Ovis aries: one gene and its partners. Each later gene encodes a partner of the first gene's protein in a complex. Links are inferred from orthologs where the notes say so. Each region holds a gene or a part of one and is shown on either strand. Other genes may lie near its edges. The genes, in order: SRRM2, CWC15, SF3B2, CRNKL1, CWC22, SNW1 and PPIL2.

Evidence for each region.
Region 2: SRRM2 (region 1) and CWC15 share a complex: the UniProt entries of both Homo sapiens proteins name them as parts of the minor spliceosome. The link is inferred for Ovis aries from reciprocal best matches to the Homo sapiens genes SRRM2 and CWC15.
Region 3: SRRM2 (region 1) and SF3B2 share a complex: the UniProt entries of both Homo sapiens proteins name them as parts of the minor spliceosome. The link is inferred for Ovis aries from reciprocal best matches to the Homo sapiens genes SRRM2 and SF3B2.
Region 4: SRRM2 (region 1) and CRNKL1 share a complex: the UniProt entries of both Homo sapiens proteins name them as parts of the minor spliceosome. The link is inferred for Ovis aries from reciprocal best matches to the Homo sapiens genes SRRM2 and CRNKL1.
Region 5: SRRM2 (region 1) and CWC22 share a complex: the UniProt entries of both Homo sapiens proteins name them as parts of the minor spliceosome. The link is inferred for Ovis aries from reciprocal best matches to the Homo sapiens genes SRRM2 and CWC22.
Region 6: SRRM2 (region 1) and SNW1 share a complex: the UniProt entries of both Homo sapiens proteins name them as parts of the minor spliceosome. The link is inferred for Ovis aries from reciprocal best matches to the Homo sapiens genes SRRM2 and SNW1.
Region 7: SRRM2 (region 1) and PPIL2 share a complex: the UniProt entries of both Homo sapiens proteins name them as parts of the minor spliceosome. The link is inferred for Ovis aries from reciprocal best matches to the Homo sapiens genes SRRM2 and PPIL2.

Annotation. Positions count from the first base shown.
Region 1 is NC_056077.1:2,806,338-2,810,532, forward strand, and holds the start of SRRM2 (serine/arginine repetitive matrix protein 2), read right to left. Parts: upstream 2,979-4,195; 5' UTR 2,772-2,978; exon of another isoform or gene 2,764-2,771; intron 2,417-2,763; exon of another isoform or gene 1,936-2,416; intron 1-1,935. UniProt on the Homo sapiens protein: Required for pre-mRNA splicing as component of the spliceosome. As a component of the minor spliceosome, involved in the splicing of U12-type introns in pre-mRNAs.
Region 2 is NC_056068.1:15,096,654-15,099,866, reverse strand, and holds part of CWC15 (spliceosome-associated protein CWC15 homolog), read right to left. Parts: coding exon 3,178-3,213; intron 2,111-3,177; coding exon 1,997-2,110; intron 1-1,996. UniProt on the Homo sapiens protein: Involved in pre-mRNA splicing as component of the spliceosome. Component of the PRP19-CDC5L complex that forms an integral part of the spliceosome and is required for activating pre-mRNA splicing.
Region 3 is NC_056074.1:40,571,657-40,575,996, reverse strand, and holds the start of SF3B2 (splicing factor 3B subunit 2), read right to left. Parts: upstream 2,842-4,340; 5' UTR 2,817-2,841; coding exon 2,684-2,816; intron 2,516-2,683; coding exon 2,466-2,515; intron 2,177-2,465; coding exon 2,099-2,176; intron 1,001-2,098; coding exon 752-1,000; intron 539-751; coding exon 488-538; intron 1-487. UniProt on the Homo sapiens protein: Component of the 17S U2 SnRNP complex of the spliceosome, a large ribonucleoprotein complex that removes introns from transcribed pre-mRNAs.
Region 4 is NC_056066.1:39,182,148-39,186,506, forward strand, and holds the start of CRNKL1 (crooked neck-like protein 1), read right to left. Parts: upstream 2,829-4,359; 5' UTR 2,728-2,828; coding exon 2,677-2,727; intron 1-2,676. UniProt on the Homo sapiens protein: Involved in pre-mRNA splicing process. As a component of the minor spliceosome, involved in the splicing of U12-type introns in pre-mRNAs.
Region 5 is NC_056055.1:130,111,807-130,115,536, reverse strand, and holds part of CWC22 (pre-mRNA-splicing factor CWC22 homolog), read right to left. Parts: intron 1,019-3,730; coding exon 941-1,018; intron 334-940; coding exon 181-333; intron 1-180. UniProt on the Homo sapiens protein: Required for pre-mRNA splicing as component of the spliceosome. As a component of the minor spliceosome, involved in the splicing of U12-type introns in pre-mRNAs. Promotes exon-junction complex (EJC) assembly.
Region 6 is NC_056060.1:87,012,824-87,016,553, reverse strand, and holds part of SNW1 (SNW domain-containing protein 1), read left to right. Parts: intron 1-844; coding exon 845-961; intron 962-1,866; coding exon 1,867-2,008; intron 2,009-3,730. UniProt on the Homo sapiens protein: Involved in pre-mRNA splicing as component of the spliceosome. As a component of the minor spliceosome, involved in the splicing of U12-type introns in pre-mRNAs.
Region 7 is NC_056070.1:72,135,999-72,140,291, forward strand, and holds the start of PPIL2 (RING-type E3 ubiquitin-protein ligase PPIL2), read right to left. Parts: upstream 2,807-4,293; 5' UTR 2,723-2,806; coding exon 2,691-2,722; intron 1-2,690. UniProt on the Homo sapiens protein: Has a ubiquitin-protein ligase activity acting as an E3 ubiquitin protein ligase or as an ubiquitin-ubiquitin ligase promoting elongation of ubiquitin chains on substrates.

The DNA of each region.
Region 1 (4,195 bases):
ATATGCACAAGTGATATCTTTACCAACTACTCTGATTCCTTGGCAACTGACTGAGGCCTCCAAACAGGGCACAACAAACACCAACAAAAAATAAAAACAGAGAGAGAGAGAGAGAGATCTGTGGCACACAAGGGCCTGCAGTCAAGTCTAGAGTCTTCCAAGAACTGACCTAGGCATTTCAGGCTAGCTACCCTGAACGTAGCCAGAAATTATGACTACAAATTGACTCGAGAACCCCTTGATATCCAAAAGGAGGCCTAACCTAAAAGGCCAGCACGCACTACAGAAACACATGAAGCCTGGATACATAATCCTCATATACATCATCTCTCAGGTAAGAGGCATATCAACTATCCTGACTGATATGTTATTTCTTCAATTTCCTTCCCAATAGGATTTCTCACATGGTTTGTGGCTCACCCAAGTCTCCCTAGCTCCTACGAAAAGATTGCGTTTCCAACTCAAACTCTCTATGTATCAAAGCAGTCTCCTCTAGTCCAACTGTTCCCCATACCTTCTCTACATCCTTTCCCTACACTTAGTCACAAAAACCCCACTCTTTCTCCCTCACCTTCATTAAAGTCAAACTGCTGACTTTAACAGTCCCTTCATTACCTTACTGCCTAGTTTTTCTCATCCAGCCCCACATGACTCTGAAGAAACCCTCAAATGCTAGTTTTTTTCTGATTAGGTTTCTTGACTACACAGACTATTCCTTTCTCCTGCTCTATGTACTTTTTTTTTCCTCCAACTCCTCCTGTCCAAGATAGTTTCACAAAGGAAATGTGTGAGTGAAAAGGACCCCAGGAAAAGAACCCAAGGAACAAAGTTGAGATATTAGTGAAGGCAGAAGAAAAAAAACACAGAACTGGATAAAAAGAAAAGTTCCATTTAAAATACTCTGGAAGAAACATAAACACCTGGGAAAATGTACCAACCTCCCCCTTTACAGGTAGATGTTGAATGAAAAGAAGACAGCTCAACTCTAGAACAGTTTGGTACCCCTTCCCCCCCAACTCTAAGGCTGGGTCCCTACCCAATCCCAGTTGCAGACTCTAGAGATCTGAAAACAAAACAAAAAAATAACCATATTGGGGTAAAGGATGATGCTAAATCTAGGAAAGGCAAGTGGAACTGTGTGAAACGAAAAATTTCTTTATAGTACAAGAAATCTTCCAACCTTCACGTTTACTTTCTCAAAATTTCTCCTTGCTCTTAAGCTAGATTTTCTCTGGCTCTCTATACCCTACCTAGTTTCTGCTTCCCTAGCAGAAAGCTTCTGACCTGCAATTAATTTTTCAGTTTAACCATTCACCCACACTTCCATACCACCTCACACAATAATCCTCCCACTCCCTGGAAAAGGATAACCAGCAGCTGCTAAGCAAAGGGTATTCAATCACAACAAACTACTTTTAGAAAATGACCCAGCAAAGAAAACAAACAAAAAACAGAAATACCATGGCATCCAAGACAATGCTCACAAAGGACAGATAGACAGGAGGAGTGTATCGATAATACATATACACAAATCACCAAAACCCAAATGGAGACACTTAAACTAGGATCCACGGACTACGGGCATGCAAAAGTCACCAAAGCTAAAGGCAGATGAAAAGCAAGCTGCAAAAGAAGATAAAAAGCATTTTTCTGTTGGAGAATTATCACATGTTAAACAAGACAAAAGGAGTCTTAAAATTCAGTATTACGACAGTCAAGGAAAGAAACGCAGGAAAAAGGGAGCGGAGAGTGCAGGAAAATGAAACTAATACGTAAGCACATCAAGTTCAGCACTGGGGCACCACAGTAGCTGACGAGGGACTATGGAACCCAGAAAGCTGAAGTACTAGCTCAGTAAGAGAGTGCCTAGATTCAACACACTCAAAAGGAAACACAACACAACTTTAAAAATTTTTGACCCAAAAGATATCTTACATAAGCGTTTGCGTGAAAACCGAGGTCTGGAAGAGTTTTGAGTCAAATTATAATAAAACCCTGCGCTTTCTCCTCAAGAAAGGGCTGGCAGCCGCCTTCCCAGCTTCAACACAACTTTGGAGACCATGAAAAGGTGCAAGAAAAGAAAAGAGCACGTGGTCTGCCTTAACATACCTAGACTGAGTACTTAATTAAAAACAAAAAAAACGTTTTGAATGCTTCGCTTAATACTTCATGGCAGACAGTAACGAATCCAAACTGCCTAAATCGAGGAGATATCTAGTTCAAGACCTTTTTTGCACAGGCTGAGCCGCCAAGACCTATTTTCGGCCTTGAGGGATGGGGGAGGGGGCTGCGCGGCGCCCGGTAGTCTGGGAGGCTCAGGACCAGACCCCAAGCCCCGGGGAGGGACGGACAGGCCGGACGCCGGCGAGGCGCGGGGCAAAGGAGCCGACAGCCGGCCCCCGCCGCCGCAGCCCCCTCCCCGCAAACAAGATGTCGGCAAGGACAGCTGCAACAGGGCCTCGTCGCCGCACGCGTCTGGGAGACGAGAAGCCCGAGTCGCGCGCTACCCACTCCTCGCCGAGAACGCGCGCGAGCCCAAGTGCACTCGGCGGCGCGCGTCGTTGCCATGGGGGAGGGGGAATAAAAGCCCGCGCGCGACAGGAACCGCGGGAGAGGGGGAGGGGAGGCAGGCGAGCGGGGACGTCCGCGCGAGCTAGGGGCGGCGAGCGCGCGTGCGCGCGGCGGCCTGGGCCGTTCTCCGCGCGCTTTGGCCTGGCGCCGGGGCCGCCGCCCCTCCCCCACCCGGCTCGCTCGCTCCCTCACCCTCTCACCCGCCGCCGCCTCCACCCGCCGCCTCCGAGGGGGAGAGGTGCTGCCGCAGATCGAGCTCCTGAGTCCTTCGGGGCCTGGAGCAGCGGCCCTGCCTCGCCGGTCCGCCCGACTCAGCCGACACCGCCGCCTCCTCGCTTCCTCAGGGGCCGCAGCGGGCTCCGACTGCGCCACTCGCACCCCGCCTGGGCCGCGTTGCACGTCAGCACGACCAACTAAACGCGTCAGCACGCAACCGCGCGCGTCGCAAGGCCCGCCGGGAACCGTAGTACGCTCCGCGGCCTTGTGCGCAGGCGCCGAATCAGCACGGGATGTGTAGTTTCTTGAGTCCCGAAGGAGAGTCAACTCTGTTGTCGATGAACTACGATTCCCGTCAGGCAGTTGCGAGGAGGGTCTCGGGAGCGGCCCGGAGGAAGCAACGCATTCCAGGGGGTTTCCGACGGGGAGCAGGAGGACACAGGGCCTAGCGTCGCTAGCCCTCGATCGCTCCCGCCTTCGGCCCAGAGCATGCTGGGAGTTGTAGTTCTAGTGTGGCGTGGAACCCGGAGGTAGCTTCGCTCTCCCCCGCCCCCACGAGGCCGCCATTTTGTCTCCTCATGTTAGGAGGCAATGGGCCCGAGGCCAATAATACCGCTTCCTCCAAGTGACCGCACGCCTCCCGGGGTGAGCCCGGGGGCTGTGCTGCACCTATCATTCCGGACCCAGGAGTACCCGCCCCCCGGACCCTGGGCGGCGGACACCCGGGTTATCCCAGAGCCCAGCTACAGGCCCAGGGCCTGAGCCAAGAGCTGAGCCAGCAGACCGTGGTGTTCGCAGCTTCCATCCGCTGAACCGGGCTGGCTGCCCCTGAGGAATGATTTTTTTTTTTTTTTATGACTGCGAGTAAGGGGCCAGACAGAGGTGCAGTTTTCTCCTGCAGAACATGAAGCGTGTTACATACGTGGCAGGGTAAAAACATTACAACCCCCACCCCCACCCCGCCCCAAGCTTGTCAGCCCTGTGCAGAATGTCTTAAGTTAATGTTTTTAAGTCCGTTTTGCTTCAGCCTGAGGACCAGCTAGTCTCCCTCGGAGCAGAGTTGGGAGAAGCTGAGTTTTTGAGGCAGGCCAGTCGTCTGGGTTATCTCTGTTTGGGGTGGGGGTGGGGGCAGCTTATACCAGCAGCCACTTAATGAACTGTGGCCCCTTTGACTTTGTATCTGATGTTACTAGGTTTTCTTTGTAATCGTGGAAAGATAACTCACCTCATATGCTGGAGCGGGGCAACCTACTGCTTGGTGTAGGAGCTGTAGCTTTGGCTTAAAGGTGCCAGGGCTGATGTAATCTTACCTTCTTGAACTCCTGGCAAGTGCTTCCTGGAGTTGGATGCACCTTTGGAGTGATTTATGGCAAAGTGGAAAAGCCTGTCCTTTCTGGGCTTAAGCTGA
Region 2 (3,213 bases), on another chromosome or scaffold:
TGCTTATCCTACAATCAGCTGAGTTGAAAAGTTGCGACAGAGGCTATGTGGTCTGCAAGCCTAATACAGTTATTATCTAGTCTCTTGCCTGGAAAATCCCATGGACAGAGGAGCCTGGTGGGCTGCCGTCCATGGGGTCGTGAAGAGTTGGACACGACTGAGCGACTTCACTTTCACTTTTCAGTTTCATGCACTGGAGAAGGAAACGGCAACCCACTCCAGTGTTCTTGCCTGGAGAATCCCAGGGACAGGGTAGCCTGGGGGGCTGCCGTCTACGGGGTTGCACAGAATCAGACACGACTGAAGCTCCTTAGCAGTAGCAGCAGCAGTCCCTTATAGAAAGTTTCCCAGCCCCTAACATAGGCTGACTGGTCTGAAATGTTTTGAAACACCTCAGCCACTAGAGGTGCCACTAGAAAGCGAGACAGGGAAAAGTCAGCCACTAGAAAGCAAGACAGGGAAATAGGTACAAAACTGTCATGTGACTCCAAAAAACACCAACACGTTTGTACAAAGAAATCAGATGCATGTTACAAAATTGCCAAGAATTTCTGTCTGAAATGTTTATGCTCCAAATGCATTTAATTGTCTCTTTCTGTATCCACAGCTGTTAGGAAGGCCAAAAGAATCTGGAATAGAATAACTGCCCTCTTGTGGTGTGCAGATGTAGGAATGGTCCGACACTTCTACTGGAGTTTTGCTATCCCCTACCAAATTTTGACGCGAATTGTATCTTTAATGTTTTTATTCTTCCAATCTGAATTCTAGCTGTCTTCAAAGCCTATCCCCAATTCTACTTCTTTTCTCAATTCTTCCCTGGCCGTTCTGACCCACATGAATTCTACCTCCCTAAGTTCCAAGCATTAACCTACATCAGTCTTTTTCCTTTTTTTAAACAGAACAATTCTTGGTTCAAATAAAATCTTACTCAGAAGCCCACTTAATAAAAAAAAATTTCCTCTATTCTGGTTGAAAGTGGAGGCAGATAGATCTACTTGAGGGTCCCACAGTGTGCCAAATTCAACATGTTCCAAACATAACTCATCATTTCTTTTCTCTCCACTGAAGCATGCCCATCCTCTGTGTTCCCTGAATTAGTGCATGGCACTCACACAGACCCAGGAACTGTTATAGCTAATCGGTCACTCTTCTTTGGTCAATTTTATCTCCCTGATAGTTAACGTCTCTCAAATTCAACTCCTAGCATGCAAGAGTCTCGTCACAGGATATGAGGATTATTGAAACAGCCCTCTAACCAGTTCTTCCTTGCATCCTCCACACTTTGGCCAGAGTAATCTTTCTAAAATGCACCCCCAACCTTACCATCTCCTGCTGAAATCGACTAATTCTGCATATCCTTTGGAACAGAGTTCAAACTCCTTTAGCATTGGTCTAGAAATGGTCAGTGCACTCACTCACTCTTGCTTCCTAAGTTTTCTCTCTTATTGTTACTACTATGGGTAATTATGTAATAAAGGTACACAGGACCATGGATCCTATTTAATTTATCTGTCTCTGAGTTAGACACTCTTTCCTTCCAAATGGAGAGACTGTGGGGACTCAGAAAAGCTAGGTTACATAAAATTTACTGACAGCCTCAGCAAGTACCTGGAAAGAAGGCTGGGGCAGAAGACAAGGACAGAGGTAAAGATGGCTTCATTCTATCTGTGGGTTCTTCCTAGGTAATGACTACATCTAGTCATCTTTGATTCTCCTGACACTTGACAGACATTGACTAAATGTCTGTTGAACAAATAAATGAGTGAAGAATAACTTAATGATTAGGCCTAAAGCATGTTTGAACCATTTCAAAAGAATTTTTAACGTAACTAGGAGACTTAGGCTGTCACTGAATTTACCAGATTTATGGACCTACAGGTGCTGTAGTATCTAGACCTGGCAAGGATGATTCCTCATATAAGGTGCTACTACTTAAAAACATTTCTACTGTAGTTTATGTGAGAAGACGTAAAAACATTTAATATGTTGGTTTTACCTTCCTGGCCTGCTCTTCAGCTCTTTCTTTTTTGATTTTTTCCAGCTCTGCAAGAAGAGCTGCAGTATCGTCATCATCACTCTCCTCTTCAAAATCTTCATCTTCATCCTCCTCCTAAAAAAGAAAGGTGAGGTTAGACATAAGGCATAAGTCGTATGTTTTCCATAAAAATGGCACTTATCGAATCTTTGGAGCAGGAAATTTCCCTGGGAAAGACAGATGTAGCTAAATACAATTAGAATCAGCAACCAAACAAAAAGTAAAATAAAACCTCACAAGTAGCTTATGACTACTTACTAAAATGTATTTTAAAATGTTTTTTAAACATTATAGCAGCAAATAGTATCTTTCAAATTTACATGAACAAGTAAGAATTTATATATGAAAATATTTGTAAAACTAGAAAAAGAACATTTTACAGTGATACACACTAACTACATTCTTTGAGGGTCAAAATAGTTTTATATTGCTCAAAACAACTAGGAAATAAGGATAATTGAAAGTACAAAAAAGGGTGTTAAATTCTCAGAGTAAAATAATTTCAAATGAATAATCATTAAATGTAACTTAAAACTGAGTTCCTTGTATGAATTACTATGCTAATTTTTAAATTAGTCTATCAATTCTAGAATTACTAACATATATGCTTAATTAGACGCTACCCTTGAAGACTTTTCCCTGTACATAGAAAACTGCAAACCTGGTAGGACCTAAATTTGAATGTTAATGAAAGTGCCAATCCTTAAAAGCCTTCCACTTAGATCACATGTCTCTCTAAACACAGAGGGAGCAATTATGCCCACTGAACATGTGGAAGGGGCATCACTGGTTGAGAATACAGAAAGGTCCCTACGTTCACTGGAGGGGATGCTATCGATGAAGAGCCCAGTCTGAAGAGGCAGAGCTATCCAATTTCCATGGTTTAATACCAGGAATTATTTTTTAGGGAAGCACACCTTTCTGGCTCTCCAGAGATCAAACTTGAAATGTGATTAACAAGATAATGCTTTCTTTGTTTTAAAATAGACTATAAAGTTTAGCACTCAAGTCAGAGCTGTAACTGAATAACAGTACGTAAATACAAATACAAACTGCTTCTTAAAGCTAAAAGAATAAAAAAGTATTTCAGAAAAATGGTAAGTAAATTACTACATGGAGGTAAGAGGAAGAAGTAAACATACATCTGTTAGTGGATCGTCTGCATCAAGGTTGGCAGC
Region 3 (4,340 bases), on another chromosome or scaffold:
TTTCAAGCAAGAATACTGGAGTGGGTTGCCATTTCCTTCTCCAGGGGATCTTCCCAACCCAGGGATTAAACCCACATCTCCTGTCTCCTGCAGGCAGACTCTTTACCCACTGAGCCATTGGGAAAGCCCAGTAGGGGTCAGGAAATTTCTTCTGTAATGGGCCAGTCAGTAAATATTTTAGGCTTTCTGGGTTGTTTGTAGACTGTTGTAAATTCCTTTCCCCCATCTCCCCGAAACAACCCTTCAAATATATAAAAACCATCCTTACATCACAGGCCATACAAAAACAGGCTATAGTCCACAGATTACCAATTCCTTGGCTATGTGAAAGAAAGAATTATTTGGGAGATAATGGAATTTAGATGAGGATGAGGTAATCTCCATGGGAAACCTGAATGGCACGGCTAATTTTAGACAGTAAGCACTAGAAGTGACAGACGATGGATTAGACCATGGAGGTCAAAGGTTAGGAAGAGGGAGGCATTACCCGCTTCTGCTGCTCCAAAAGCTCATGTTCCTTCAGTGAATGATCTCCCTGCTTAAGAAAGAAAACGAGCTCATTCCAGTACCCACACCCCACCGGCCAGTCTACCACAGCTCTGCTTCCTGGTCTGCTCTTCCAGCCGAGGCCCTGAAGACTTGGGTCCAGACCTTCCCAGAAGCCTTGGCCCCAGGATCCGGCTCCCCTGGAGGCCCTACTCCCTTTTCAGGACCCTGGTGAGACCCAGGCTCAGGCTGCCACCTGCCCTACCTGCTTGGCACGCTCCTCCTGCTGCATCAGCAATGCCGCCTGCTGCTGCGCCAGCTTCAGCCGCTCTTCCTCAGACAGCGCCACGGGCTCACCCACCCGGAGAGGAGGAGGAGGCCCCAAGTTTGGCGGGCGGGGTCCAACTGCCATAGGAAAGCCAAGGCCAAGGCCAGGTGGGGGTGGTGGGGGTGGTGGAGGGGGTTGTAGAGGAGGGAGACCCATGGGTGGGGGCGGCATGGGAATCCCCGAGAGCTGTGGGGGGAAAAAAAGGCCATTAACTATGAAGCATTTATGTAATGGCAGGCATTTGCTGGGGAACTAATATAAGGCTGGCACTGGGATTCAAAGTCAAATGATGCACAATTCTTGCATTCAAGAAAATGCAGGGCTTCCCTGAAGGTCCAATGTTTAAGAATCCGCTCAACGCAAGGCACATGGGTTCGAGCCCTGCTCTAGGAAGATTCCACGTGCTGCGGGGCAACTAAGCCCATGTGCCGCGTGTGCTGCAGCTGCTGAAACCCGTATACCCTGGAGCCCGTGCTCCGCAACCAGAGGCCACTGCGATGGGATGGCCGCACAACACAACTAGACAGTAGTCCTGTGCTCGCTTCAACTGGAAAGGGCCTGCACACAGCAATGAAGACCCAGAGCAGCCAAAGACATAAAGGAAAAAAGAAAGAATACTCTACGGCAGTATCGAAAGAAGAGCATTTTAACTTTGTGCCACCAACTGATGAAAGCTGTCAACTCTGTCCCAGAAGAACATCATGAACACAGACTTCACATACAATTTCAGGAGACTCACGGACACCTCTAAAGGCCTTCTGAAAAACTCCTCAACCCCTCAAAAAATAAAAACCTTCTTATGCCACACATAGAAGTCCCTGGACCCCAAGTCAGGGCCACTGCTCTACAGAAAAACTATCAAATCCTGGATCAGAAAAGACATGGAAATTGAGAGTATTTAAATAAATAAGACCCAGTGTGCCCCAATGACTGATTAAATATAGAAGGTATGAAATTAAATCAGAGAGTAAGCCCTAATTTCTCATTGAATAACATGGGAACTCTGCACAGGGAGGGCAGAGAAGAGAGTGATTACTTCCAGCTGGGGAAGGATTATGTCAGGTTTCCAGATATTTAAGCTGAATCTTAAATGACACATGAAATTTGGAGGAACTGACACTGAGAAAGGAAGTAAGAATCTGGACGAAGGAAGAACTGAAGAGTTCCCAGTTCTTTCATCAGTGTACCTCCCTGCCCAGTGGGCTACGTGTATCCCCCTGTACGCTCAGAGGAGGAGCTACTCTGAGTAGAAAAGAATCTTATCAAGTGAGACAGTCTTCTTACCTGTGCTGACATAGGAGGAGGAGCAGCTTTGTCCCCATCTTCACCTCTCAGAACGGGACGATTCAGGACGATGCCAGTCTGTGAAAGTGAAAAGAATCTAGGGCAGTCTAAAAGGAGCTGGTGCATGAAACAGCGTTCGCTCTCGTCTATTCAACAAAATTTACCCAGTGACTGTCTGCCAGAGCTCGGAATGGGCTCTGGGAAGAAACGATATATACAAAAGCAATTATAACACAGCAGATACGAAGCAGCCAAGACCCCACTTGCTGTACCGAGATTCGTAAACAACGAAGACCGAGTTGTAACGGGTCATTAATGCCTCCTGCAAACGCTCGGCCTATCCTCATGTCCCGCCACCAACACTTACTTGGCGAGTGTAAGCCTGCAATCGCTCCACAAGCTCCTCGCGACTCCCTGCTAAGCAAAGCACAGGATCAACGGGGTAGGTCAGGTCGAGCAGGCCAGCCTGCCCAAGTCAGGCCACCGCGGCCAGCCTCTAACCCCCGCCCCCGGGTCTCCGGGGTAACCAGCTCCGCTTCCCCGCAGGCCTGCACTTTCCTGCCCTTGACTTCCCATGCTCCTCACCCTGGATGGGAGCTCCGATCTCTGCTAATTTGGCCTGAAGCTCCTGGGCAGCCCAGGCACCATAGTGTCCAGGAGGCGGCGGCGGCGGCAGCTGCAACTCTCCCTTAGGAGGCTCCGGATGCTCGGCCGCCATCTTAGCCGCAGGAAGGCGCGCGACCAACCCGGAAGCTCGGACCAGCCTCCGGACCCACTTCCCGGAACTTCCGGTAGGGCGATACGCCACGTCCGCTCGAGGGTTGCCAGGCAGTTCCCATCAGGGCCCACCCCCTACCGTTCTCCAATGCTCCTTAGGCCGCCTGGTCGCGAAGCCTTCTGGGAGTTGTAGTGCACAGGTCACGATCTCTGCGGATTCAAATCCGGGAGGATCGCGGCCGGCCGCGACGCGGGGAACTCTGGAGGCCAGAGCCGGGGCGGGGCTGTGGGGAAAGCAGGTCCTGCCCGAAGGGCGTGCTTTCTGCATCTCACTGGCCTCAGCGCAGACCTCCCGCCTTGCGGCGCTACTCCCTGGTTGGACTTGAGAGGCCTGGACGCTCACGTTCTCCAGGGACTCGTTCCCCCGGCGGTCGCGCGCTGTGGGCGCCAAGCGGGAGTTTGCCGCCGATGCCTGTGATAAAACAGTGTCTGATTGTCTGCCCGCCCATCCCCGGCCCAGGCATGGATGAATGGGCTGAAAGGAGATCGGAGACGGGAACGAAGCCGGCCCTCCGGGCTGAGATCCAGCTGCCGACCTGGGGGAAGGGCCACACTAAAGCCCCTTTTTCCACCTTCCTGGCCGTCTCAAATGTCATCTACGTTAAACTGTCTCCCGCCTTTCCTGCTCTGGAGCGGCCAAACCTCTACCATTTGTTTTGAAATCTTTCTTGCCCTTTTCTGCACTTACAACTCCCAAGACATGAGTTTTTACGGTCTCACAGTACCTGGCGTTAGAAGTGCTCAATGAATTATTACTGAAAGGGGGAAAAAAAAAAAAAAAAAGCAGTCTTAAGCGACAAGATTTGGATCCTTTTTTAGTCTTGAAAATAAACGCAGGGGAATTCCCTGGTGGTCCAGTGGGTCGAACTCAGTGCTTTCCCTGGGGAAACCCGGGTTCCATCCGCGGTCAGGTAACTAAGATCCCACAAGCCGCACCGCAAGGCCGAAAAAGAAAGAAAATAAACTCAGGACCTTTTCTTCCCTCATCCCCACCAGCTTACTGGCGCAGCAGACCCTGTCTGGTGCTCTCCTACCCCACCAGCGGCCTGTGCCCCTGAGGGAGGGATGGGCAGGTGGCCCTTGCTTGCCCCCTTCTGCTTCTCCCTGTCCTGATCAGTCAGTTCAGTTCATCTTCCCACCTCTGCCTCCAGCTCTGAGATCCCGTTCCCATTCTAGTGCTGCTGTCTCACAGACAGCCAGGTCGCAGCCAGTGTGCATGTATGTGTGTTGGATGAGAGAGCGGGGCAACTCAAAATGGTCTCTATTCCCTCTCCCCTCCCTCCACACCCGCATCCCTCAGATCTTCTCTCTAGCATGCTCTATTTCACGAATCACCCCCAACAGAGCAGTACCTGGGAGGAGGGAAAAAAGAATGGGAGGTCAGGTCCAGGGAAGGTGAGGTTTAGGATAGACAAAGGACTGGGCCAGGAAGGTTGCTTGCAACCTAACCCTGGCAGGAAATTCT
Region 4 (4,359 bases), on another chromosome or scaffold:
CCAGGAGCTGACTGTGGCTCAGATCATGAACTCCTTATTGCCAAATTTGGACTCAAATTGAAGAAAGTAGGGAAAACCGCTAGACCATTCAGGTATGACCTAAATCAAATCTCTTATGATTATACAGTGGAAGTGAGAAATAGATTTAAAGGACTAGATCTGATACATAGAGTGCCTGATGAACTATGGAATGAAGTTCGTGACAGGAGACAGGGATCAAGACCATCCCCATGGAAAAGAAATGCAAAAAAACAAAATGGCTGTCTGGGGAGGCCTTACAAATAGCTGTGAAAAGAAAGAGAGGCGAAAAGCAAAGGAGAAAAGGAAAGATATAAGCATCTGAATGCAGAGTTCCAGAGAATAGCAAGAAGAGATAAGAAAGCCTTCTTCAGCGATCAATGCAAAGAAATAGAGGAAAAGAACAGAATGGGAAAGACTAGAGATCTCTTCAAGAAAATTAGAGATACCAAGGGAACATTTCATGCAAAGATGGGCTCGATAAAGGACAGAAATGGTATGGACCTAACAGAAGCAGAAGATATTAAGAAGAGGTGGCAACAATACACAGAAGAACTGTACAAAAAAGATCTTCATGACCCAGATAATCACGATGATGTGATCACTCACCTAGAGCCAGAAATTCTGGAATGTGAAGTCAAAGTGGGCCTTAGAAAGCATCGCTACGCACAAAGCTAGTGGAGGTGATGGAATTCCAGTTGAGCTGTTTCAAATCCTGAAAAATGATGCTGTGAAAGTGCTGCACTCAATATGCCAGCAAATTTGGAAAACTCAGCAGTGGCCACAGGACTGGAAAAGGTCAGTTTTCATTCCAGTCCCAAAGAAAGACAATGCCAAAGACTGCTCAAACTACCGCACAATTGCACTCATCTCACACGCTAGCAAAGTAATGCTCAAAATTCTCCAAGCCAGGCTTCAGCAATACATGAACTGTGAACTTTCTGATGTTCAAGCTGTTTTTAGAAAAGGCAGAGGAACCAGAGATCAAATTGCCAACATCCGCTGGATCATCAAAAAAGCAAGAGAGTTCCAGAAAAACATCTATTTCTGCTTTATTGACTATGCCAAAGCCTTTGACTGTGTGGATCACAATAAACTGTGGAAAATCCTGAAAGAGATGGGAATACAGACCACCTGACCTGCCTCTTGAGAAATCTGTATGCAGGTCAGGAAGCAGCAGTTAGAACTGGACATGGAACAACAGACTGGTTCCAAATAGGAAAAGGAGTACGTCAAGGCTGTATATTGTTACCCTGCTTATTTAACGTATATGCAGAGTACATCATGAGAAATGCTGGGCTGGAAGAAACACAAGCTGGAATCAAGATTGCTGGGAGAAATATCAATAACCTCAGATATGCAGATGACACCAACCTTATGGCAGAAAGTGAAGAGGAACTAAAAAGCCTCTTGATGAAAGTGAAAGTGGAAAGGAAAAAGTTGGCCTAAAGCTCAACATTCAGAAAACGAAGTTCATGGCATCTGGTCCCATCACTTCATGGGAAATAGATGGGAAACAGTGGAAACAGTGTCAGACTTTATTTTGGGGGGCTCCAAAATCACTGCAGATGGTGACTGCAGCCATGAAATTAAAAGACGCTTACTCCTTGGAAGAAAAGTTATGACCAATCTAGATAGCATATTCAAAAGCAGAGACATTCTTTGCCGACTAAGGTCCATTAGTCAAGGCTATGGTTTTTCCTGTGGTCATGTATGGATGTGAGAGTTGGACTGTGAAGAATTGATGCTTTTGAACTGTGGTGTTGGAGAAGATTCCTGAGAGTCCCTTGGACTGCAAGAAGATCCAGCCAGTCCATTCTGAAGGAGATCAGCCCTGGGATTTCTTTGGAAGGAATGATGCTCAAGCTGAAACTGCAGTACTTTGGCCACCTCATGCGAAGAGTTGACTTATTGGAAAAGACTCTGATGCTGGGAGGGATTGGGGGCAGGAGGAGAAGGGGACGACAGAGGATGAGATGTCTGGATGGCATCACGGACTCGATGGACGTGAGTCTGAGTGAACTCCGGGAGTTGGTGATGGACAGGGAGGCCTGGCGTGCTGCGATTCATGGGGTCGCAAAGAGTCGGACACAACTGAGTGACTGAACTGAACTGAACTGAACTTTAGTATTAACCGCCGACGGAAAAAGTGAGATCAACCAAAATACAGCCCTTGTCATCTCTTTTCACTCCTTCCACTCTCACCCGGGGTTGACTCCTATTACAGCCTTCAGCACAGCTTAATCATCACTTCTTGCGCTGGAGACCCCTCACACGAGCCCAGGAAGCCACGGCCTATTCCTCTGGGGCTCAGGAGCCTTTGCAAGGCTGCAGTTCTACCCTTACGCAGGGTAGCTCGTAGCCCGCTCTACCCGGAGCCCCAGCGACTAGCGAGTGTCTGTTTCAGCGTGTCTGTGCTGAAGAACCTCTCTCCTCCCCCAGATAAACACTTTTTAACACGACGACCACGCGGACGCGGAGGTGACCCCCATCCCCGGCTGGCCCTCCCCGCCCGCGGCCCCCGCTCAGGTAGGGAGGACCAGCTCCCGGGACCACACGCCTCCCGCCCCAGGGACCACACGCCTCCCGCCCCAGGCACCACCAAGGCCGGGCCAACCCCATCCCCGGCCTCCTCCCACAAGGCCCCGAGCCGCTCACCTTGGCCACTTTGGGGATCCTTTGCTTCCCGGCAGCGGTGGAAGCCGCCATGGCTGCAGCGGCGACCGCGGGCGAGCCCGGGACCACAGAACCTTCCCCGAGGGCTCGCCCACACCGCGCAACTTTCCGACAACAAGCGGGATCCCGGAACCGGAAGCGGAACTGGCTGGGGCGACCTTTGACCTCTTTCCCGCGCCGTGACGGAGTCAACGTCGTTTCTGTGGTAACCGGGCTGCGCGTCCTCTTCGGAGCCTGGGACTCGGGAGTTGCAGGTGAGGTGAGGAGTGCTGGCTGCATCCGGGCCGTCAGGGGCACATCCTCAGATCGCCTCTGGGATTAGGATGACCGTGCGAGGACGGGTGGATCCGTGAAATCGCGGTATCCCGCAAGGGGACAGGAACCCGGCTACCGTGCGGACGCTCGAGGGCGGGGGTGGGGTAGAAAACTACCTCCTGGCATACCTAGCGGCAAGCTGCTGACCTCCTCGGCCGCCCTGAGCTGGGGTGCATTCTGGGCTTTGTAGGCCCGAATGGTCAACTGCCCCTTGGTTTCCGGACAGTTGTGACCAAATAATTCTATGGCTTATAAATGAAAGTGACTGAAGGAATTTTAAAGCCAGATAACAGAAAAAAGTGAAAATAAATCATCGGAGTACTAGCAAATAACCCAGCCTTATAATGTCAGATAAGCAATGTAATATATCAATCTTAAATAATATCAGATAAACAGATATTTAAAATTTTCTGTCATTGTGTCTTAATGTCAATTTTCGTAGCGCCAGTTCGCTTAACTTTTGTTGTTATTGAGTCGCGAATTCAGGTCCCACTCTTTGCGACCTCATGGACTGTAGCACACCAGGCTTCTCTATCCTCCACTATCTCCTGTAATTTGCTGAAATTTATGTCCGTTGAGTCAGTGATTGCATCTAACCATCTCACCCTCTACCACCTCCTTTTCCTTTTGCCTTCAGTCTTTCCCAGCATCAGGTCTTTTCCACTGACTTGGCTCTCTGAATATAGTGGCCAAAGTATTGGAGCTTCAGCTTCATTCCTTCCAATGAACACTCAGGGTTGATTTCCTTTAGGACTGACTGGTTTGATCTCCATGCAGTTCAAGTGACTCTCAAGAGGCTTGTCCAGCACCACAACTAGAAAGTATAAATTCTATGGTGATCAGCCTTCCTTATGGTCCAGCTCTCAAATCTGTGCATGACTATGGAGAAAACCATAGCTCTGACCATACAGACATTTGTGGCAAAGTGATATCTCTGCTTTTTAATATATTGTCTAGGTTTGTCATAGCTTTCCTTTCAAGGAGCAAGAATCTTTTAATTTCATGGCTGCAGTTATCATCCTGCAGTGATTTTGGAGCCCGAGGGGAAAAAATATCTGTCACTGCTTCCATGTTTTCCCCTTCTATTTGCCACGAAGTGATGGGACTGGATGCCATGTTTTTTTAATGTTGAGATTCAAGCCAGCTTTTTCACTCTCCTCTTTCATCCTCATCAAGAGGCTCTTTAGTTCATCTTCACTTTCTGCCATTAGAGTGGTATCATTTGTGTATATGAGGGTACTGATATTTCTCCTGGCAATCTTAATTTCAGCTTCTGATTCATTCAGCCCAGAATTTCACATGATATGCTCTGCATAGAAGTTAAATAAGCAGAGTGACAATATACAGCCT
Region 5 (3,730 bases), on another chromosome or scaffold:
TTATATGAATATAACCTCAAAGAGTGCAAAGAGTGCCATTATAGTGGAAGTTCGCTCCACATGTCATTTTAAAACACACTGCCTACATTGGAAGAGTATGGCTATGTTATACTTAATAATATTTATTTCAGAATAACAGGGGATTAGGAAAGAAGTACAAATATTGACTCATCTACTTACGCTCCATGGAAGTGAATCAGTGTATAAAAGGTGAGCAAACATCTTAGCAACATTTCTCAATTTGTTTGTTTCCAAGCGATGGATGGTATCATATTGTTCTTTGAATATACTTTCAAAGGATTCCATGTATTCTTTTTTTAGCATGCAAAATCGCTAATAAATTAAAAATAAAAATGTCAACACCATATTAAATCCTAATTTTATTCAATCAAAAGTTAATAAATGTTTGTATGTCATATCACTCTTCTTTGTTGTATAATGGGATGCTTAAAAAAGAAGTCAATTTATACCACCCCTGGGATTTATATGCTAAAACAAAGTTATACACATGGCTAGCCACAGATACACATATTTATATAAGATAAATAAATATACTTCTCTATGGATTAAGTTTGGATTCAAAAAATGATTTAGCTCATGCTTTATTTATGTTGTCTGAACATGTACTTGACCAGAAATTGCTGTGAAAGTTTGAAAAGACAGCATTTAATTGTTCTCTTTGGGAAACTGTTATGGAATGCCTCAAAGTTCTGGAAGAATGATATGTAATATCAAAGAACTACAAACAGGAAGTGGGAAGGGAGGAAGCTACAGAGATTAGGGAAACTGTGGAAGGGAAGAATGATTTGTTTTTCAGCAAAGATATGTTAGTACATTAGACCAGGCAACAAAGCAGACACATTAATTCACAATACTCATGTTCAGAATTACCCTTGTGATTTCATCAAAATCCAACAAGAAAAATGAGGTCGGAACTCACCCCAGCTAACAAGCCAAAAAATTTCTCATATGTCCTTTGTTGGGCACAGCAATCAAGTATCATGTTGCAGAGTTCTTTCTATTTGGAAAAAAATTACATTAATGATTCAAAACACAATGAATCTATGCTGTGTGATAATTTATCAATATGACAAAGATAGCCTGAATTTTTAAATAAGGTTTTAAAAACATAAAACTTTGTGAAGTTGAGTTATGAAGACAAAACAAAAAATTCAATCTCTGTCAAGACTATAGTTTTTTAAAGTCTTCTGTTTGGCTAATAGAAATTCCATGTCATTTATGCTAATTAGATTGCTTATAAAATTCTAAACTCATGTAAGTATGAGCCACTTCAAGAAAACCTGCTGTGAAATTTTGAAAAGACAGCATTTAATTGTTCTCTTTGGGAAACTGTTATGGAATGCCTCAAAGTTCTGGAAGAATGATACGTAATATCAAAGAACTATCAAGGAAACAGATACATCAACAAAAAGAAACTAAATATATCACATTCTAAAAGATTCTATACAGAAATCTTTTAAATACAGACCACCAATACAACATTTAAACTGAGTTATCAAGAATATATTTTGTTAGTATGGAAAAGGCAAAACGTGGTGAGTCTTTACAGAGCATAAAGTAGGCACAACTTCAGTGCTAACATAATGACTGCCTTGTTTATAAGAAAATATATCTAAAAGAACAACAACAAAAAAGACCTTTGTGGCCAAGATTTTTAGCCTCAAAATAAATGCTACTCAATAGATCTGTCCACAGATGAATCTAAATAAATAGATGGAATCATTCCATAACTGTTCTTTCCACAGACTGTCCAATCAGTTATTTTTGTGTCTTGAAAACTCCTCTGTGAAAATTCTGTTGGGCTATGAAATGCAAGAGTTAATCCAAGATCGGGAAATACCAACATCACAAATTACTTATAATGAATAAATATTATTTAATTCCTGAAATAACCCTAATGAAATATATATCAATTACAGCAATTTCATAGATCAAGAAACTCAGGAAATATGGACAAATCAATGGAGACAAAATGAAAAAGAGAATAATCCTAACCCTAACTCTGAGTACTGCTAAACTGACTAAAGATCTTTTTCTACAAAACATTTCTTATTAGAAAGTTAAAAAGTAATTTTTAATAAAATACATTAACTGCAATGTATTCGTGTTCTATAAACAGAAAGCAACGCTATAAAATATACTATATACTCTTTCAGTTCACTTTTATTTTGTACCTTTATATCTTCAATTAGGAATTCTGACATTTTTGTCCTCTGATAACATGAGATACAATCTATTAATAGGTAATTATTATATATATTAAAAAAAAATTAGGTCAATATGCATTTATTGGAAATCTCCACGTGCACCACCAGATGACACCATCCAGATGACATCCAGATGGCACCACCCTTATGGTGAAATCGATGAACTAAAGAGCCTCTTGATGAAAGTGAAAGACGAGAGTGAAAAAGTTGGCTTAAAACTCAACATTTAGAAAACTAAGATCATGGCATCTGGTCCCATCACTTCGTGGCAAATAGTTGGGGAAACAATGGAAACAGTGACAGACTTTATTTTCTTGGGCTCCAAAATCCCTGCAGATGGTGACTGCAGCCATGAAATTAAAGGCACTTGCTCCTTGGAAGAAAAGCTATGATCAACCTAGGCAGCATATTAAAAAGCAGAGACATTACTTTTCCGACAAAGGTCCACCTAGTCGAAGCTATGGTTTTTCCAGTAGTCACGTATGGATGTGAGAAAGCTGAGCACCAAAGAACTGATGGTTTTGAACTGTGGTGTTGGAGAAAACTCTTGAGAGCCCCATGGACTGCAAGGAGATCCAACCAGTCAGTCCTGACGGAAATCAGTCCTGAGTGTTCACTGGAAGAACTGATGTTGAAGCTGAAACTCCAATACTTTGGCCACCTGATGCAGAGAACTGACTCTTTGGAAAAGACCCTGATGCTGGGAAAGATTGAAGGCAGGAGGAAAAGGGGACAACAGAGGATGAGATGGTAGAATGGCATCACCAACTTGATGGACATGAGTTTGAGCAAGCTCTGGGAGTTGGTGATGGACCGGGAAGCCTGGCAAGCTACAATCCATGGTGTCGCAAAGAGTTGGACATGTCTGAGCAACTGAATTGAACTGAACTGACTGATCCATGAGCAAGAAGGAAGGGGGACCCTGAAGAAGCATAGAACACTTTACAACTGTGCTGTCCAGTGTGCTGGCCCCTAGCAATACATAGCCATTTACATTTAGATTATTCAACATTATGTAAAATTCAAATTTTAGTTTTTTAGTCATACGTCACATTTTAAGTACTCAGAAGCCACATGTGACCAGTATAGTGGCCACTGTACTAAAAAGGGAAGAATATGAATATTTTCATCAATGCAAAATGTTCTATGGGGCAGTGTTATTCAAGAAGCTGATAATCTACTTATAAAACTATCTAATGAAAGGCTTCTCTTCACAAAACAAGGTTATTTTTAGATGTAATTATACTGTTAGATTATTATTTTTTTTAAAGGTTAGTCACAAGTTGCCTCAATTAAAATGTTTATAAATGTCTAAGTTCTGAAGAGATGTACTTCGTCAAAATTTAATATAGGACCAAAAAAACCTAAATGACCTTTTCTGAGTTCTGCCACACAACATTAATTCAATATATTAAAATGTATTTTCAACTTCTACCAACACTTCATCTTATAATAACCTAATACTTAACCAGGTTTTAAACAATATAACATGGTAATATGCT
Region 6 (3,730 bases), on another chromosome or scaffold:
TCAAGTTACACACTCATCCTGAAACAAAAGGATTGTTGGGTAGTCTGGTTTGGTATACCATACATATTTATGTATGTATAACTATGAGGCATCTTGAGCTGTCTGTAACACTCCTTGAATTAGGAATAAAGACCATGGGCAGGAGGTCATTATTTAGTAGTCTACTCAAAAGTCTGAAAGAATAAAGCTAAGCGTGGAAGTTACATAAATGTTCAAGCATATTCCTTGAGTTCTTGAAACAGGATGCAGAATTTCAAAACAAAGAATCTTAATTGTCTAGCAAACTTCTATCTTTTTTCTGTTTACTAAAATGTGTAGGGTTCCAAGAATCTGATAAGTCATGAAAGCAGTGCAGCAGATTAAGTTACCTATAGACACTATGATTTTAGTGCTTTCTTCTACCTTTGTATAACTGTTACATTTACTTGATGAGCAACTCTTTAGCTATTTGGTAGTGATTTCCTTTTATTATAACCCAAAATTTAACATGAGAATGTTTTCCCAGAGCTTGCACTCTGAAATGCTAGTTCTTCTGCTTATTAACTGTATGACCTAGGCTTTCTACCTCAGTGTCTTCGTCTGTGAAATGGAAATAATAATGTTACCATTACCAGCCTTATAGACTTGCTGTGAAGGATAAATGAGGCCATAAATATAAAACGCTTAAACAGTCCTCCACACGAAGCCCTCAGTGTTAGCTGCTACTACTGTTGCTTAATTACGAAAAGAGATGTAAGGAGAAAGAACTTAAAATGATTGTCAAAATGGACATATATAAATCTAGTTTTAAAGACTCCATTGTTGCTCTTTGGTGACCAGTGTTTTCTGCCTGCCTTTGTCCTAGGGTTATACAATTCCATTAGATAAACGTCTGGCTGCCGATGGAAGAGGACTGCAAACAGTTCACATCAATGAAAATTTTGCAAAACTGGCCGAAGCCCTCTACATTGCTGATCGAAAGGTTGGTCTGTTGTAATTAAGTTGTTTGATGCTCTTGATAATTTGTAAATCTGTTCAAAATTACCTAAGATACTGTTATTTGGGTTACATTGCTGAGTACCCAGAGAGGCTCTCACCTGTGGTATGTGTTCCAGAGATGACATGTGCTGGTGGCAGTTCTGACCCAGTCTTGGCCTTTGTAGACTCATATACATACCCCACCACTGGTGATTCATCTTTCCCACAACATTCTAGAATAACGGTGCTTCACTAGACTGATCCCAATTTTGGGAAGGTTGGCACCTACTCTTCCTGGGTTTCATAATTTTTCCCTATTTCTCTTTGTCTTCCAAAAGATCAGTGGCATAGAAGGGAAAATAAACATACCGATGTATTGAATGCTACAGAAAATGGCATTCATAGTATTGGCTGTCTGTTAATATTATGGTATTAATATGTGTCTTTTAAGTTTACATGCATCAGGGTATGGGCATAGAATATACAAGAGTATATCTTCTGTGTCACAGTGAGCACCCTTATGTAAATTATTTCTTGCTCATCTATACTAAGGCTATATCTTGAGTTGATCTGATTGATTTTGAAAACATTACCACTTCCTATTATTGATATTGAAAATTGCTTTATTGCTTAATTTTATTTTTTAGATTGTTTCTAAAATGAAACAGTGAAAAAGCATTAGTGAAACACTGACTTACAAGATTGATTGGAGTCAGAGTGAAAAAGCTGTTTGCAATGTCGTCTAGGCGAGTTATCTTTTGTAGACAAGAATCTGTGTTTTAATTAGCAGTAACAAATGTGAATTCTTCTAACTGTTCTTTCAAGCCAGAGTTTAGTCAGGAAATTAAATGACAGCTATAATTCTTTATCCCTGATAGTATCTTATTTAACATCTAACTTCACTTACAGGCTCGTGAAGCGGTGGAAATGCGTGCTCAAGTAGAGAGAAAGATGGCGCAAAAAGAAAAGGAAAAACATGAAGAGAAACTTAGAGAAATGGCCCAGAAAGCCAGAGAGAGAAGAGCTGGGATCAAAACCCATGTGGAAAAAGGTATAACATACTCGTTGTTTAGTTGCTAAGTCATGTCCAACTCTTTGTGATCCCATGCACAGTAGCCCACCAGGCTCCTCTGTCCATGGTATTTCCCAGGCAAGAATACTGGAGTGGGGTGCCATTTCCTACAGGGATCTTCCCGCCCCAGGGATCAAACCTGCATTGGCAGGTGATTCTTTACCATCTGGGAAGTCACCGGGGAAGCCCTGACATACTTGTTACTAAATTGAATTTACTTTGTGAATAATACTTATCTCAATTTAGAAAATCTCAGCTGTTTTTTTTGCTGCATGCAGAAGTAGTACATACATGTAAAGAAAATGTAGATATTTCAGAAATAATGTAGAAATGAAACAGTAATTTCTGCCTCATTAAGTGGAAGTAATAGAAAAGAATGTGTATTTAAATGTGGGCGTTTAATATGGGACTACACCAGAAATTTTTAAAATTCTGAGCAAAATACTTTTAAAAATCACATATTATTCAAATGATAGGCTTAATTTTCTCTTACTTTTCTGGAAACTTAGAGAAAAGAGCTTTCAAACTGAACAATTCAGCTCCCCCAATGGTAAACTTAATCCACAGTTGTTCTTTTAGGCCTTTAATCATTTTCTCTCTTGCTTTATTTAGTGATCTACATAAATATTGTGGTATATGTGCTATATTAATTCCGTTAGAGTGAGAAGACTAATTCTAGTTCAAGAAAATTATGAGGGTGGTTTCAGTAATAATTCCTCATCTAGTATACTTACTCATTCAGTTCATGTTGAGCACCTACTAGGGGCAAGGATTTAATCTAGACACAGAGTTTTCTGCTAGTCGGGTAGAGGATATAGCAGTGAACATTTTAGGGAGTGTAGACAGACAAAAAAGTGTTAATCATATAGTGTATTAGAAGATAACAGTCACTATGAGGGCAAAAAAGAGGAAGAGTATGTAAAAGTGCCAGAAGGAGGGAGTGGTCAGAATAGACCTCACTTCCGAGATGGTAACTTTAACAAAAAAAACACTTGAAGAAAGTAAGGAAGTGAGCCTAAGGGAAGAGCATCCCAGATAGAAGGAGCAGCCAGTGCAGACGCCCTGAGTTGGGAGTGTATCTGCTATGTTCAAGGAAAAGCAGGAGGCCAGAATGGCTGGATTAGACCTAGAAAGCTAAGTAGAGATGAGGTGTCAGAGTAGTTAGGGCAAAGTGGCCAGATCTTGTGTGCCTTTTATAGCTTTTACTTCAAGTAACAAGGGAAGTAATCTGAAGAGTCTGGAGCAGGATGACATGGTCTTGAATATGTTAGAAAGCAATGGAATGGTTATCTGCAGGAGCAGGAACACCGTTGGAAAGCTATTGCAATAATCCAGATAAGAGATAATAGCAGGAGGTAGATAGTGAAAATATGTCAGGTACTGGGTGTGATTTGAAAGTAGAGCTGACAAAATTTGCTTATGGATTCGGCAGAAGGAAAGAAAAGGAGTCAAAGATGACTCCGGAACTTTTGACCTAAACAATTGACAAGGATTGAATTGCTATCTACTAATATTGGTAAGACTACACTGCGGAGAGATTTGGGAAGGAAAAATTAGGAATTTAGTTGTGGACATGTTATGTTTAAAATGGAGGTGTCAAGTAGGCAATTGGTTATAGGAGTCTAGAGTTGAAGGGAAGTAATGAAGGTTCTGGCTAATAACCCACTTCCTTGCATATATATATAAATGTCTTAATGGGGC
Region 7 (4,293 bases), on another chromosome or scaffold:
TTCCAGGGGTGGTGTTGTAAGCCAGGCTGGGGCCATCACCCGAGGAGAGTGTGAAATAGAGGAAGCGGCGGGAGGAGACCTAGGAGGTCTGGGGAGGAGAGGACCCAGGAGAGGGAACCCAGAGAGCACCGTCTCTGAAGAAACCCGAAAACAGAGAGTGGTGTCCCAGACACCGAGGAAGGGCTTCAGAGGGAGAGCGGTGGTCCGGCACGCCCCAGGAAGCGAGGACAGAGAGCTGACCCCCGGATGGAGCCGCCCCCGGAGTTGAGGGATCCCGACAGGAGCAACGCGGGCAGACGCTGACTGAAGCGGGGTCAAGGGGAAGGCAGAAAACCACAGGGGATCGTCCTCATCTCGCCATTCAGACAGCTCAGCTCAGCCGCCTCTGACCCTGTGACCCCATGGATCGCAGCATGCCAGGCCTCCCTGTCTATCACCGACTCCCAGACACCCTGGAATGTGAAGTCAAGTGGGCCTTAGAAAGCATCATTACGAACAAAGCTAGTGGAGGTGATGGAAGTCCAGTGGAGCTGTTTCAAATCCTGAAAGATGATGCTGTGAAAGTGCTGCACTCAATATACCAGCAAATTGGGAAAACTCAGCAGTGGTCAGTTTTTATTCCAATTCCAAAGAAAGGCAATGACAAAGAATGCTTAAACTACCGCACAATTGCACTCATCTCACATGCTAGTAAAGTAATGCTCAAAATTCTCCAAGCCAGGCTTCAGCAATACATGAACCGTGAATTCCCTGATGTTCAAGCTGGTTTTAGAAAAGGCAGAGGAACCAGAGATTAAATTGCCAACATCCACTGGATCATGGAAAAAGCAACAGAGTTCCAGAAAAACATTTCTGCTTTATTGACTATGCCAAAGCCTTTGACTGTGTGGATCACAATAAACTGTGGAAAATTCTGAAAGACATGGGAATACCAGACCACCTGACCTGCCTCTTGAGAAATCTGTATGCAGGTCAAGAAGCAACAGTTAGAACTGGACATGGAACAACAGACTGGTTCCACATAGGAAAAGGAGTACATCAAGGTGGTATATTGTCACCCTGCTTATTTAACTTACATGCAGAGTACATCATGAGAAACGCTGGGCTGGAAGAAACACAAGCTGGAATCAACATTGCCGGGAGAGATATCAATAACCTCAGATATGCAGATGACACCACCCTTATGGCAGAAAGTGAAGAGGAACTAAAAAGCCTCTTGATGAAAGTCAAAGAGGAAAGTGAAAAAGTTGGCTTAAAGCTCAACATTCAGAAAACGAAGATCATGGCATCTGGTCCCATCAATTCATGGGAAATAGATGGGGAAACAGTGGAAACAGTGTCAGACTTTATTTTTGGGGGCTCCAAAATTACTGCAGATGGTGACTGCAGGCATGAAATTAAAAGACGCTTACTCCTTGGAAGAAAAGTTATGACCAACCTAGATAGTATATTCAAAAGCAGAGACATTACTTTGCTGACTAAGGTCCATCTAGTCAAGGCTATGGTTTTTCCTGTGGTCATGTATGGATGTGAGAGTTGGACTGTGAAGAAGGCTTAGCGCCGAAGAATTGATGCTTTTGAACTGTGGTGTTGGAGAAGACTCTTGAGGGTCCCTTGGACTGCAAGGATTTCCAACCAGTCCATCCTGAAGGAGATCAGTCCTGGGATTTCTTTGGAAGGAATGATGCTAAAGCTGAAGCTCCAGTACTTTGGCCACCTCATGTGAAGAGTTGACTCATTGGAAAAGACTCTGATGCTGGGAGGGATTGAGGGCAGGAGGAGAAGGGGACGACCGAGGATGAGATGGCTGGATGGCATCACTGACTTGGTGGACGTGAGTCTGAGTGAACTCCGGGAGATGGTGATGGACAGGGAGGCCTGGCGTGCTGCGATTCATGGGGTCGCAAAGAGTTGGACACGACTGAGCGACTGAACTGAACTGTCCACTGAGGGAGGTCCCATGCCCTCCAGCCATCTCATCCTCTGCCGTCCCCTTCTCCTCCCGCCTTCAATCTTTCAGGGTCTTTTCCAATGAGTCAGCCCTTCGCATCAGGTGGCCAAAGTATTGGAGCTTCAGCATCAGTCCTTCCAATGAACACCCAGGGCTGATCTCCTTGCAGTCCAGGGCACTCTCAAGAGTCTTCTCCAGCACCACAGTTCAGAAGCATTGATTCTTCGGCGCTCAGCCTTCTTTATACTCGAACTTTTACATCCACACATGTAAAAACCAAACCATCGGAAAAGACTCTTGGAAAGGACTCTTGAGAGTCCCCCGGACAGAAAGGAGATCCAACCAGTCCATCCTAAAGGAAAGCGGTCCTGAATATCGTCTGGCGGTTAAGAAAATCAAAGAAATTCGACGGTAGCTCGGGGGCCCAAGTGGGTTTAACTGGAAGATGCTGGAGCTCGGGAGCGGACTGGGGGACGAGGGACGACCACCGCGCCCGAGGAGACGCCCCCAGGGAAAAGCTGGCGAGCCTGAGGAGCCGAGGGGACTGGACCCCCGAGACCCGCGCCGGAGGGGGAGCCCGCGGAGGCTTCCGGCGAGGCGGCGTCGGCGGGCCGGAGAGCGCGGGGCCCCGGAAACCCGCGCGGAGCGGCGGAGGCTTCCGGGGAAGCGGCGTCTCGGGAGCTCGGGGGCGGGGCGCGGGGCGGACAGGCCCGCTCCCGGCGGTGGCGGCTCAACTCACATCTTGTCCTTCTGGTGCTGTCGCTTCCCCATGGCGACGGCAGGGTCAGCGAGCGCAGAAGACGGGGGAAAAGCACACCTCCGACCGCGGCGTCTCGGACGAACTCCGTAACTACTTCCGGGTCTCGCCGAACCGCCCCGGAAGCAAGCGCTGAGCACGCCGGGAACTGTGGTCCCTGGCTGCCCCCGCCCCCACCCCGAGTGCACGCCCGCCGGGCGCGGAGGCTCCCCGCGCCCGGGGGCTCCCCGCGCCCGGGGGCTCCCCGCGCCCGGGGGCTCCCCGCGCCCGGGGGCTCCCCGCGCCCGGGGGCTCCCCGCGCCCGGGGGCTCCCCGCGCCCGGGGGCTCCCCGCGCCCGGGGGCTGAGCAGTTTCGGCGTCGAAGCCTCCCCGTCTCTGCAGCTTTCTGTGCACCGCCTACCTAGCCTGCCTGCCTGGTCGCAGCTCAACGCCATCCCATCCCAAACCCGCCCTGGTCTGCCCTGGCTTCTCAGGTCTTCCGCTTGGAGCCCGGAAGTTCCCCCGGCCTTGGCCCCATCTCTGCCCCAGGCCGGCACCTCCAGATGGACACCCACATTCGCTATCCGCCCTCTCACCGCTCACCGGGACCGCACTGCCTGCAGCCCCCTCTCCTGGGCTACCCAGGGGCAGGTGGCCATCAAGCCCAAAGGTCCAAAGCCTTCGTGATCCCTTCGGCCTCTTCCCTCGGCCGGACCACCACGTTGGGGTGCCCCAGGCCAAGCCTCAGACCTCCCCCTACACTCAAGCACTGGGTGACCTTGCCCGGGCTCGCGGCTTTAAACGCCTGTATCGCTTGACTCCCAACGCTAAATGGCCAGCACTCAAGACTCCTGCCCTCTACTCGGGCAACCCAGTGAACTCGAATTCAGTATGTCTGCTAAAGCAGAATTCTCCTCCTCCCCCTCTAGGGTCCACTCTCCTCAGAGTACCACTATCCAGCCAGTCACCCCATACAGCTACAAGGGCTTGTTACCACTTGTAATCCTGTACTAATCCATCTGTGTACTGTCTAGCCACACATGCACGCACGCACGCACGCACACACACACACCCTCTCTCTCTCTTCAGGGAGACATGGCTTCCCCAAGAGCCAGGACCCCAACTGCTCGTCTGCTATCTCCAGTCACAAGCAAAGTGCCTGCGAGCTGCGTGCTGTCCCTTCAGTTGCGACTGACTCTCTTCCACCCTTCTGGACTGCAGCCCGCCAGGCTCCTGTCTGTGGGCTCTCCAGGCAAGAATACTGGAGTGGGTTGCCATGCCCTCCTCCAGGGCATCTTCCCAATCCAGGGATGAAACCGGTGTCCCTTGCGTCTCCTGCATGGACAGGCAGGTTCTTTGCCACCTGGGAAGCCCCAAGCAAGGTGCAGGGCATACCCAAGAGCTCAAGCAACATCTGCTCTACCGGCCAGCATCATCGGACACTTTGTGAGGACTCACATCTCACATGCAGGTCGACTTTAAGGTCAGCATGCAAGGCGATCAGAGTCACGTGTCTCTGAAACTCTTTAGGGAGGCACCAAGTTGGAAACCGACTCACTGGCTCACTGTCATCCCATGGGGGGCACAGACCACTGTTTCTAAGGCT